Linked DNA regions of Caenorhabditis elegans. The protein of the gene in region 2 binds, or shares a complex with, the protein of the main gene of each other region. Each region holds a gene or a part of one and is shown on either strand. Other genes may lie near its edges. The genes, in order: pafo-1 and leo-1.

What was found.
Region 1: leo-1 (region 2) and pafo-1 share a complex: the UniProt entries of both Caenorhabditis elegans proteins name them as parts of the PAF1 complex.

What each region holds. Positions count from the first base shown.
Region 1 is NC_003283.11:11,518,820-11,525,177, forward strand, and holds pafo-1 (RNA polymerase II-associated factor 1 homolog), read left to right. Parts: upstream 1-2,883; 5' UTR 2,884-2,946; coding exon 2,947-2,987; intron 2,988-3,038; coding exon 3,039-3,140; intron 3,141-3,189; coding exon 3,190-3,316; intron 3,317-3,370; coding exon 3,371-3,631; intron 3,632-3,683; coding exon 3,684-4,293; intron 4,294-4,349; coding exon 4,350-4,486; 3' UTR 4,487-4,565; downstream 4,566-6,358. Other genes in the region: C55A6.7 (DeHydrogenases, Short chain), read right to left, coding at 665-766, 814-1,338, 1,486-1,614; C55A6.11 (uncharacterized protein), read left to right, coding at 1,813-1,899, 2,137-2,562, 2,608-2,715. UniProt on the Caenorhabditis elegans protein: Component of the PAF1 complex which is a multifunctional complex involved in transcription initiation via genetic interactions with TATA-binding proteins, elongation and transcription-coupled histone modification.
Region 2 is NC_003282.8:11,326,394-11,332,583, forward strand, and holds leo-1 (RNA polymerase-associated protein LEO1), read right to left. Parts: upstream 2,977-6,190; coding exon 2,921-2,976; intron 2,874-2,920; coding exon 2,477-2,873; intron 2,430-2,476; coding exon 2,256-2,429; intron 2,209-2,255; coding exon 2,114-2,208; intron 2,066-2,113; coding exon 1,966-2,065; intron 1,914-1,965; coding exon 1,583-1,913; intron 1,513-1,582; coding exon 1,373-1,512; 3' UTR 1,228-1,372; downstream 1-1,227. Other genes in the region: his-45 (Histone H3), read left to right, coding at 195-605; B0035.21 (Kinesin motor domain-containing protein), read left to right, coding at 963-1,066, 1,113-1,176; sart-3 (Spliceosome associated factor 3, U4/U6 recycling protein), read right to left, coding at 3,371-3,486, 3,539-3,833, 3,883-3,996, 4,054-4,391, 4,439-5,040, 5,100-5,248, 5,397-5,794, 5,839-5,935 and 1 more. UniProt on the Caenorhabditis elegans protein: Component of the PAF1 complex which is a multifunctional complex involved in transcription initiation via genetic interactions with TATA-binding proteins, elongation and transcription-coupled histone modification.

The DNA.
Region 1 (6,358 bases), on a different chromosome or scaffold from region 2:
TGCTCCACATAATGATACGGCCACCCCCAAATTTTGGTATAACTCAAAACTGGGTTGAGATAGCAAAACATAGTTTCTTGTGAAAATGTTCGCTGTACTGGCTAACTTTCAGATAAGTATTGGAAATATACATGAACCGTTCGTAAAAAAAGATAAACCATTTTTTGATGAAAAACCATATAAAAAAATCCACAAAATGATACGGCCACCCTTGGTTTTTGTTTTCTTTTTTCGTTTTTTTTTGCAATTTTTTTTTGCTAAACGTTAGGTTTCATGCTCGTTTGTGTTTTTACAGCTATGTGTCGTGGAATAACTTTAACTGACTACGAAAAAGGACAAATTGTGCAAAATTATCTCAAGGCTTCTCGGATCGTCAGATTTTTCGTGATTTGAAACGTTCAAGAGATATGATCATTCGATATGCTTCAAATCCTGCCGCTTATTGCACCAAATTTTGAAATTTTTGCATCTTGATCTTTTAGGTCCCCATATCTGATTGTTTACTTCAATGTTAATTCTATTTCAATACTTTATCAGAAAGAAGTTTCTAAGAAGTTTGATACAACACATAAACAATACAGATTTAAATAAAACCAAGAAGAACACAGTGAAAGTAAATCAGTCGTACAACAATCATTAAATGGATAAAAAAGGGCTGAAAACTTTAATACGGAATAATTGAAAGATCTCTTCGGAAATATCCGCCATTGTGTGTTGCTCCTAGTTTGTTGAATGCCGCCAATATTTGTGAGGAAGATTCCTCAATCTGAAAAGGAACAATTATAACTATGAAATTCAAAAGCATGATCTTACAGTAAGTTGTCCTTTCCCTTTACTCATATCAGTTTGAACCATTCCTGGACAAATTCCAGCTGTTAAAATATGATCATCTTTTAGATCAATTGAGAGAGTTTTTGTAAACTGATTCACCGCACACTTCGTCATTCGATATGCCATTGCTTTATATTCACCAGAACCACTGGTATTTTCAGAAATTGAACCAAGAAATTCGGATGCAATATTAATGATTGCACCACGAGAAACGGAAAGTGTATCGCCTTCCTGTCGTTTCGAAGCTTTGATTATGAGTGGTACAAGGCTTTGTGTAAGCATCATTGGACCAATTGTATTTGACTCAAACAAATCCAGAACAACTTTTCGATCAGGTTTTTGTTTTGTTACATATGGAAGCATCACAGCTGCATTATTTATAAGAAGAGTTAATCCAGATTCTCCAACAATTTCAGACACTTTTTCAGCAAAATTTGCAATTGATTCATCGGATCCGAGTGAGAGTTGAAGAATGTGAAGTCGTGGATCACAAATTCCCTTGAGAGCCTGAAAAATTGGAAATTAAGAATGCCGTAGTCCAATACATGTTGTTGGGAAATTTTTACCATATACAAATATTAGGAACACAAACCTAATACAAATAACTATAATCTCAGCAACGGATAAAGTATAAATAAACTCGAAAAAACTTACAGTTGCCTTATCAACATCTCTTGCAGTCGCAATGACATGCTGAACATTTGGATCTTTCAGAAATTGTTGAACTAATCCAAATCCCAATCCTCGATTGGATCCGGTTACCACAACTGATTTTGGAGACATTTTCACTAGAATTTAAGCATAGAATTGAATTAACAGAAATCGAAAATCAATGAATGATGATTATTATTTCTTATCAATAGTATTTCTCTTCTGTTCTGCAAAATAAACAGCGTGATGAACTGCCACAATAATTAGTTTGGTTTATTGCAGTTTTTAGTTTATTTCGGAATTTCTGAGAAGAGATCAAAGAATTAGACAATGAAGAAAACTATGATAATTTCGATTTTGGTTAATACAGTTTTGCTCTTCAATCAAGTGTTGGTTGCGAACGGGGAAAATGTGAATGTAGGTTTACACAGGAGATGTTATAAAGGACTTTCCTTGGTTCTATTCCTGAGCTTTTCCAGTTGTCCCTGGGAAATTTTCTTTCAAATATTTTTAATGAAAGAGAAACGATAGACAAAAAAAGATAGACAAAAAACTAGGCGCAATTTGTTTTGCTATTGTTATGTTTTTGTAGGTTATGAGCAATTTCAAAATAAGATCTTTCTAGAAAATTGTAAAAATATTATTTCATTCAAGGTATCCTGCCCAATTTTATCCCGAACTCGACACAAAGAACTTCGAACTTTCATGTACAAAAACTGCACTTCCGGTTTCAAGACATGCTTTCAACAAATTATGCTCACTGAAATCGTTCGAAATGAGCAACACGCATTTCTATTTGCCTCTGGTTGTGCTTCGAAGGAAATTCTCAAGCCATTCAATCTAACCGAGGAAACATTCATGAAGTTATGTGACAAGAAAAAAGTGGGACGATGTGTTCATACATACCAGCATCGAGTTTATTATGGTACACTCTGCTGTGAAAGGAATTCGGAAAAAATGTTCGGATCTTGGCTGTGGGATGTTTTCTTTGGAAGTAGTGAAGAGCTAAATGCTGAAATGGAGAATACTGTTAGCTTTGTTCAGCGTGAAAGTATCGGAATGCACGATGATCATGATAATGTAGGCTTTAAAAGTTCACAACCCCACATTTATATAATTTTCCAGAAAGGAGCATTGGCTCTCTACATTGCTGGACCATTCATTGTCACCTTTATATTTACATTATTGTCCCTTTTACAATATTATCATGTTAATGATGGCATTTTGTCATAAAATAAATATTATCGTGACGAGAACGCTGGAAATTCACAAAACAAAAAATACTTTTTGAACACCCGCGCAAAACTGGTTATGCGCCATTGTTCCCTGCTGACGCGCATTGAGCGCTTGCGCAAAACCCGTGTGTGAGAGTTTGAATTTAATTCCCTCGGTGACTAGTTTTTTCGATTTGCAGCCGTTTCTGCCGATTGGTATCTTAATATTATAACTAAATTACTATAAAAAATGCCCCAAGAATCCTCAGATGCCAAAAGGATTGAACCTCCGTAAGTATTATTGTTTTGAATCGCTAGAAAAGTTTTGAAAACATTTTGCAGACGAAAAGTGGATTTCATGCTGAAACCTCGATTTACCAATACTGTTCCTGATGTCCCATTTGATGCAAAGTTTATGACTTGTCCATTTGTTCCTCTGGGAAGGTACACCAATTTTGAAACGTTTGACATTGTTCAATATCTCTGAATTTAGATTTGTCGAATTCCAACCTGCTGCCATTTATCGAGATTACAAGCATGCAGTCATTTGTGACGACGACATGGGTTTGAATGTCGATTTGATTGATCTAAAAAAATACGACGAAGATCCAATCGAAACTGTAGGTTTTTTCCTGAAATATACAGTTTCAAAGATAGAAATGTTTCACTTTTAGGAAATTGATGAGAAAGACAATATTTTACTGGAAGATGATGGCGCCGCTAAATTGATTGCAAAACGATCTCAACAGCATTCTAAACTTGTTCCATGGATGAGAAAAACCGAGTACATTTCAACTGAATTCAATCGGTTCGGTGTGACAGCCGATAGACAGGAGACGAAGCTTGGTTATAACTTGAAGAAAAATCAACAAGTTGAAGATATGTATCGTGACAAGCAGAGTCAAATTGATGCCATTAACAAGACATTTGAAGATGTAAGTACCAGAATATATTTTTTTGATTTAAATCTACTTTTGCGTATTTTAGGTTCGTAAACCCGTCAAGGAGCATTACTCCAAGAAGGGTGTAAAAGCTGTTGAAGAAAGCTTTGTCTTCCCTGATTTCGATCACTGGAAACACCTCTTTGCTCATGTACAATTTGATGGAGACACTATAACAACAGAATTCGAAGAAGAAGATGAACGACAACAAGCACGGGAGAGCAGTGTTATTAAAGCCATGGAATTCGAAGATCAAAAATTTGCAGCAGTTTTTGTTCCAACGATTGGATGTCTTACGAGTTTTATGGATGATCTTGAGTTAGAACGACCATTTGATGAGGATATGAAGTACGAATTCTTGCTAAGCCGTGAATACACATTTAAAATGGAACACTTGCCACCAAGGGATCGTGACGTCTTCATTATGTATCATCGTAATAACGTTTTCCAGTACAACGAAGTTGACTGTAATGTCAAGATGACAAGAAAACCAAAAATGGCATTGAGCAGAAAATCCAAATTGACACTCACATACCGAAATCCTTCCGAACTGGAACAAAAAGACATGAATAAAAGAGAGGCTGAGTTATACGAACAGCCAAAGACCAGAAAACAAGAGATTCTGGAAAAGATTCAAGAGAAGAAAGAAGAAGGTGGTGAGTAAATTTAAGTTTTGAAGTGTTATTTTCCACGCGAACATGCAATTTTTCAGGAGACAGTTCAGATCAGAGCAGTGATTCTGATGACGACAAGCCGCAGAAATCACGATCTGATAGCTCTTCGGACGTTTCATCAGATGACGATTCACCACGGAAAAAGGAACCGACTGTTGACAGCGACAGTGATTGATCTCAAATTTTTAAAATTGTTTTTCTATTTATTTTACCTAATCAAATTGGTTTTTCTCAGTAAACTTGATAACGATTTCAACTATTTGTTCGATTGATCTTCATGAATCTTCGCTAAAAGTGCAAGTATGATTTGACTCACAATTGAAGAAAAAACCAACAGCGGAAACACCAACACCCGCAAAGTTCTGTTTGTGTAGGTGTCTGTTGCTTGCGCTTATGTGCTCCACGTTCTATTCTTTGATTTGTCATGCGGAAGCAACAGGATCAGAGGGCAAGACGTTTAGTTTTGGGGGAAATTCGAACTACCGTTCTGATTGGAATGCGTATTGCGAAACATTGAATATATCCCGTAGCGAAAACTACAGTAATTCTTTAAATGACTACTGTAGCAATAGATTTTCGAAACTACAGTGCATTTTTTTTCCACTTCTACGACTTTAAAGGCGCGCGTATTTATACAAAATGGTCCCGTCATTGGTCTCGCCACGCGCTCAACAAATCAAAGGGATGCGCGTGGCGAGACCATTGCGCGAAAATGCGCGCGCCTTTAAAGTCGTAGAAGTTGTAAAAAAAGCACTGTATTCCAAAAGAAATTCATTTCAAAATTCCAGCCCGTAAATCGACACAAGCACTACAGTAGTCATTTCAAGAATTACTGTAGTTTTCGTGATACTTTGAGCGTCAAACATGTTACGCAATATGGATTCTCATAATTTTTTGTTCCCGGAATAAGAAAGTTTTCTGGGGACAGAAACACATTTAAAAAAGTACAATTATGGAACTATTGGAATGGAAATCCGTTCAATTTGTCAAAATATGAAAATAGTTTTCAATGCCACCGTTCACAGATCCTCATCATTATCATGATATTTTGGCATAACATTAATATTACCAGTTTCTGTTTCTTCCGCAACACGCCGCTTGTTGTAGCTTTCTCTCTCGGCTCTTTTTGTGTGTGCCTGTCTGTGGGTGGGGGTGGGTGTGTGTGTGTGCTTACAAAAACTTCAACAAAACTGCCTCGATGCTTCTACCAACACCCGCGCGAGAGGCTTCCCCCAGTTTCACTTGTTGAAAGAGAAAACCACGTGCGTGAAGAATGGGAACACTGTAGGTTTTTTATTAGATTGACATAAAATACAATCGTGGGCATATTGGCGTAGGAAATACGAAAATGATCAGAGAATCATGTCATAGAAGTCTTAGACTTGATATTGAAATTTTTTTTAAATCATTGAATTATCATAACAAGTCTACCAGAATATTTTCTTTCGCTGTGCACACTGTAATCTTCTAACGGACACTGGAAAAAGTTTCAGACTGTCAATTCTCGATAATCATTAGCACCTGTTTTCCAAACGACCTTTCAACGATCTTCAGCAGTGTGACTTTCTTTGGCGTTAAAAAATTATTATAAAAATTTAGAGCCAAGAATTCCAATTTGAAAATGTAATAGTGCGAATTTGAATTTTGCTTGAAAACAGTCTGAATGTCGAAAATGCCACAGAAGAGAGTTATAAAAATTGAGAAATGAAAAATCCAACTCTACTTTCAGGAAACTTTGTATACTTAAGTAGCACCTTAAATCATAAAAATTACAAAAATAGTATTGAATCACATTTAACAAGGTGCATAGATTATGACCAAGTCAATCGGGATATTTCGTAGATCCCGTCATAATTCAGTTGAAGGAAGCATAATTCGCGGGAAGATACTTCAAGACTTCCAAAAAATCTTATTCGAAATTACAATTCTCGAGAACAACACTTATCTTGGAACGTAGCCAGGAACAAAGTTTGACATGCTGATGATTGATACTGGACAGATTTTTTTGATTAATGAGATCTGAAAGTGAGAAGAAAGGAAAACAGTT
Region 2 (6,190 bases):
ACAGCTGTGGTGGCTAGGCGGAGTCACATTGCACCACTCTGCGAGGACACCTTTCCTTTGTCTGTAACACACCGAATGTTCTAATTGCCACAAGGACAGAAGTGCGCCCGCCCGCCCTCCCACCGCAGCTGCGTACAAAGGCAGTCGTTGGTTTCTCTTTTTTACAGTCCCCACGGATTATCAACCTAAACGCAATGGCTCGTACCAAGCAAACCGCCCGTAAATCGACCGGAGGAAAGGCTCCAAGAAAGCAATTGGCCACCAAAGCTGCCCGCAAATCGGCTCCAGCTTCCGGAGGAGTCAAGAAACCACATCGTTATCGCCCAGGAACCGTCGCTCTTCGTGAGATCAGACGTTACCAGAAATCAACCGAACTTCTAATCCGCAGAGCACCATTCCAGCGCCTTGTTCGTGAGATTGCTCAGGATTTCAAGACCGATCTTCGATTCCAATCTTCCGCTGTCATGGCTCTTCAGGAGGCTGCCGAGGCTTACCTTGTCGGACTCTTCGAGGACACCAACTTGTGTGCCATCCACGCTAAGCGAGTCACCATCATGCCAAAGGATATCCAATTGGCCAGACGCATCCGAGGAGAGCGCGCTTAAATACCTTTTTTGGTAGTTGAGCAAGCTTAATCTCAAAACTTAACCGAACCCAACGGCCCTCTTTAGGGCCACAAATATCCTCAAATCCATTTTAATATTCAATGAATACTTTTTTCAATTTCAATTTTTTTAAATTTTAAATCTTTCGGACATAGTGGTTCCGTGTATATTATAATATGATTGATTCAAAGATTTGTTGTTAGATGTAAAAATTTATTAGTCAGTTTCTTTATCAAACGTGAAAAATCATTTCCTACATTTTCCACAAAGATGTTTAAAATACTCTGGAATCAAAAGTCAAAACCTATAGTTTTTCGAATTTTAATTTATGGAATCTTCTTTCAAATCATTATATTGATGTTTTTACTGCGATCGAGAAGCTCTGGAAATCAAGAAGAAGCTCAGTTGATATTAAATGTATCGATTTCCCCAAGAGCAATGGAAAACGATAAAACACGGAGGTTTGATTTTGAGAATTCTGAAATCGTAGATTATTTCAAGTTTCAGAATTTATGATACGACACTTGATGCCAATTCTTTGAGAAGCGAGGAAGACGTAGTGGATGTATGATTTTAAATATTACATACAATCTGATTGAAATTAAGAAATAAAAGCTCGGTTTTTCATAATATTGTGGATGTTTCATTATCTCGAAATATCGAAGACTAAAATAAATAAGGAAAGGAAAACATTTTCGAAATATTGTAAAGGGAGAAATATTGAATTCGCGAAATATAAAATTGTGAGGATCAAAATTGAAATAAATTTAGTCAGATTCTTCGTCACTGGTGACAATCTGTTTCTTTTGTTGTTGTTTTCTCTTTCGGTACTCTTCATCAGAATCGCTATCCGATCCGCTTTTCTTTGTGGTATCCGCATGATCGTCCTCACTTTCTGAGCTGGCACCTGAAATATATTATTGTAGTACAGTTTCTTTATTCTGGTAAAGTCCTAATCAAAATTAAATTGAACTTACCAATAATTGGTGCTTCCTTCTTCTTTCCTTTTCTGGATGACGTTGGCATATCTTCATCATCAGAATATTGTCCTGCATATCTCGGACCACGAACTTTAAAGTTATTCCGAACCATCTGAGTACGTCGGATGTGTGCACGAAGTGATTCTTCCTCCTTCCGGGCATTCTCACGCCGTGTAATTTCCGGATTCTGACCAACATCGTCCATGACTTTAACTTGAGCATTCTTCCTGCTTCGATCTGCCATATTGAGTGTGACTTTTCTGTGAGTTTGGGAATCAGTCGAGTGAGGACGGAAGGTCATACGATGTGTAAGAACAGCTTGAGCCGACTAAAAATGACATAAATTTTGATTAAAATAAAAACATTAACAATCAAAATACCATTAATGTTGGCTGCTTAACGTAAAGATGGGGAAGATTATTGGAATTCAGCGGCACCAATGAGACTTCGAAAATTTCGTTTCCGAGGTATAGAGACATTCTGAAATTAAGTCACGATATGGAAATTTTGCATCAATTGAAAACTAACGTTCCATCGTCCCATTTTACAATTTTTGCATTACTCTCTCGAATTTCTTTTCCATTTTCATCTTTGCGAACTCGCCAGCGAAGTGTATTTTCCACCTTAAAAATTGTATATTTGATGAGATGTATTTATAACACAGACATACTCTCAATTTGAGACGTGTTCGTCCTTCATCATCCAATTTCGCCTGCTCATCATCTTCGTCTTCCTCGTAATGTTGTGGATCAAATGGATGAGTGGCGACTGATAGAAAGTTTGGCATTCTGACAAAATGTGGTGGATCTGCAGCGTACTCCAAAGTAACACGACCTGTTACCATCTGGAAAATCAATGTTTTAATCACATTATTTCATTGAAAATGTTTACTTCAGTATCATGAACATGCTCCTTTGCTTTTTCATCTTCATCTATTTCATCTGGATTAGCCATCACAATTCCTTGCAAATCATTCAAACTTCCACGACTCTCCGCATCGGAATCTGACAATCGTGCTCTTGTATTTGATTCTTTCGGCTTTCCTTCTCTGTCGGAATCATCGTCGGAAGAGCCAGAGAGATCACCGAACAAACCACCACCAGCACCGGGGGAACTCTTTTCACCTCCTCCTCTCGGATGAATGTTATCGTCAGAAGAATCGGACAATTGTCGAGGAGCAGGACGAGAATCATCATCATCGTCGGACTCATTTAATATCGCTCTTTTCTTAGACGGTTCTTGTTTTTTTGGTGAATCTGGCGACGATCCACGAGAAGATGGAGTTGATCTGAATTGAATTATATTATTTTAGAAACACAATTACCATTTACTTACGATTTAACTGGTGTTCCTGGTGCAGAAGCGTCAGAATTACCCTCAGAAGATGACATCTGAATTGAAAATATTGCATACCTAAGTTCTTTGAATAGCGAAAGTAGCAAAACAAAGTAATAATTTGGGGTCGAATATACCGATAAAAATTGAATAATAAAAGTAGTTGTTGAAAATTCAGATTTTCTTATCCATAGGCAATAAGTTGAAAATGAATATTGGGGGATCTCTATTACAAATTATTAGCAAACAAAAAGAAAACAAGGATTATGAACAGTTATGAAACTAAATCTTGCAATTCGTAGTGAAGAACAAATATAATTATAGCGAGAACATCAAAAATAGCATCTACCGGAATTTTAATTGGAAAGGAGACACTGGGGAACGTAATAGAAATTAAATAACTAAATGAATCTTGATATGAACAATGAAAGTTTCTGGTGAAAAACGGCCCTAATTTTTCATAAACATTTTACGGAATTGATCATTTGAAAGTGGCTGAGACGTTGAAGTGCCTTCGGAAACATCCATTGCGTCCAGCCGAGCAGTGATTTGAGGAGTTTTGTTTGCTGAAAATGGATTTTTTTATGCTAAGCTGGGAACTAAAGATGATATACTTACTAATAGCTCTGGGAACCAATTGCAGTTTTGCAGCATGTCCTTTTCTAGGTCCATCTTCTTCCAAACTTGCTCCAATTGCTGCTGGTTTTCCATGCGATTTATCCTTTTTTACTGGTGGATTGGATAACGCTACCTCTAGTTCTCTTTCTCGAAGCATCAATTTATCACCAGAAGCAACACATTTTTGAGCACTTGCTTCTGTGTCAAAATCTACGAATGCGATTCCTTTTGGTTTTCCATCTTTATGAGTCACGCGTCGAACACTGGTTACTGTACCGAATTTCGAGAATAATGCCTGAAATGTATCGATTTAGAATATAAAATGATAGATAAGTATATATTACCTTTAACTCATCGTCGGTTGCCTGGAAGTGGACATTGCGAACGAAGACTTTCGATTTTTCAAGAGTGGTTGAGAATTTGAATCCAACCCGTTTTTCTGGATCGTTGGCGGAGATCTGAATTTTCAGAAATTAAAATTTCACAAATATTTATAAAGTAAAATTAAAACTTACAAACATTGGCCTTCCCTTCACAGGAACTCGATCTTTCAAGAGAGCTTGCTGTGCCTTCTGATCATTCTCCATTACAACATAGGCGAACCCTCTGTGCACAAGATCCGAATTCGCTTTTCTTGCGAATCGAATTGAAGCAACACCTTCAATGGCTTGTCGAATTTCGTCTTCCGTCGTAGTGAAATCGAGATTAGAAACAAAAATTGTGCGAGCATCTTCCGTTCCTGGAGCTGCTTTCTGAACTGCAAAGGAACCTGGAGCTGGTGTCGACGAAGCATTTGAAGAGGATACAGCTGATGAACTTTTCGCATTGGATGGTGGAAGTGGAGCTTTGAATCCTAAAATTTAATTCAAATTAACTTCTTTACTTTTAAAAATTATTTACCTCCGTCGTCTCCTTTCACTTTTTTTACAATTGGTTCACCTCCCGACGTTCTCTTCTGAATATGATCTTGCTTTGATTTAGGAGCTGGAGCTGGTTTCTCAGAAACTTTCTTTTGTGGTCGAATGGCTCGATGAGCAACCTGTGAATTCACTTTCTCAAGAACCAAATCCAACTCAGCCAATGTTCCTTCTTCTCTTTCAAATTGAACATAGTACATATAGATTTCGTTGATGTTATCCGATACAGAATTGAGAGCTTTGTTTAGATATTTTCGAGCATTTTCTTTATCACCGAATTGTCGCTCAAGACGAACAGCTTCAATCCATTTTCCGGCAAATCTTCCGAATCCTGATGCAAGAATATCATTCCAGATATTTCGACATTTGTCCATGTTCTTCATTAATGAAGCATAGAAATATGCTTGCATTTGTCGATAATCTGCTGTAGTATCCCAAGCCATTGAAAACCATTCTCTGAGTAGCGCTGCACCTTCATCAAACACTTCAGCCATTGGAGAGTAATCCGAAGAACCAGTGAGATGAATTCGACGGCGAAGCAAAAAAGCATAGGTACGGTAAAGACTCCGTCCTTCTTCGGCAGAACTGAAATTACACCGAATAAATATATAAGACTACTGTATGTATTCAAAAAAGAAACTAACTTGATAACATTGCTTCTTGCTCGTTCCCATAATGCATCAATTTCCTCATTTGGCCGACGATCTCGTTCGAAGGCGAGAAGAGCTTGTTGATGGAGAACAAAACTGTATGGACAATGACGCAGAGCTCGAGAGTACACTTTTACAGCAACCTGAACAAAATAATTCAATAATCCAATGGAAGCTTTAGTAAAATAATAATATTCAACAATATTTTTTTCGAATCTTAAAGATAATTATAATCTCTAGACAGACCTCTGGATATTTCCGATAATTCTATAATAAAAAGTATTTCCTTACCTGTGGCAATTTAAGTTCAATATCTGCCCATGCTCCATATGCAATCCAAGCTTCCTCGTCATCGTCCAACTCAGAAACAAGCCTCTCGTGAGCCATTTTTATTCTACTAGGAATTCCACTCTTCTTCTCGTGATCAAAAAACTGTTTCAGACCTTGCTTTTTGGTTTCTTCCTGTTGAATGAGCTCCTCGAACTTTGACAATTGTTCCTTCTGTCGCATTGTTGAATTATATGTCTTTTTCAGTTCTTCGAGTTTATGATGTTGTTTGAATTCTGTGCAGAATTGTTCAGCTAAAACATAAACATCTTCGAGCTGATCTGTTGGGCAATGAAGGGCTCTCTCGAACAGAGCGAAAACTTGATCAGCGAGTCGTTGATAGTCAGGAGCATTCATAGAATCTGAAAATTATAAATTGTTGATGAAAGTACAGTAGTAAGCTCACTTTTCAGGTAGCTCATTTCATATTCCAGAAAAATCAGCCAAATGTGCCCTCCAGAATCGTACCGAGTTCCAAGGTTTTCAAGAGCTTTGCTACAAACCTGTAAAATTATAATAATTACATTTTTCAATCAAAACTTACATCTCGGCAAAACTTGAAATCCTCTTTTTTGTTTTTGTCGTTCGCAACCTTATATGCGTACATTGCTCTTTCGACCCAAATAGTGACATCGTTCTCATCAAACAGAGCTTTTTCAAACATTTCCTCGACTTCTGCGACACTTGGCTCCGGTTTTCTGTTTTGAAAATCTCTGAAATCAGTTTTTAAAAAATTATAATTAACCTATTTTTTTTAA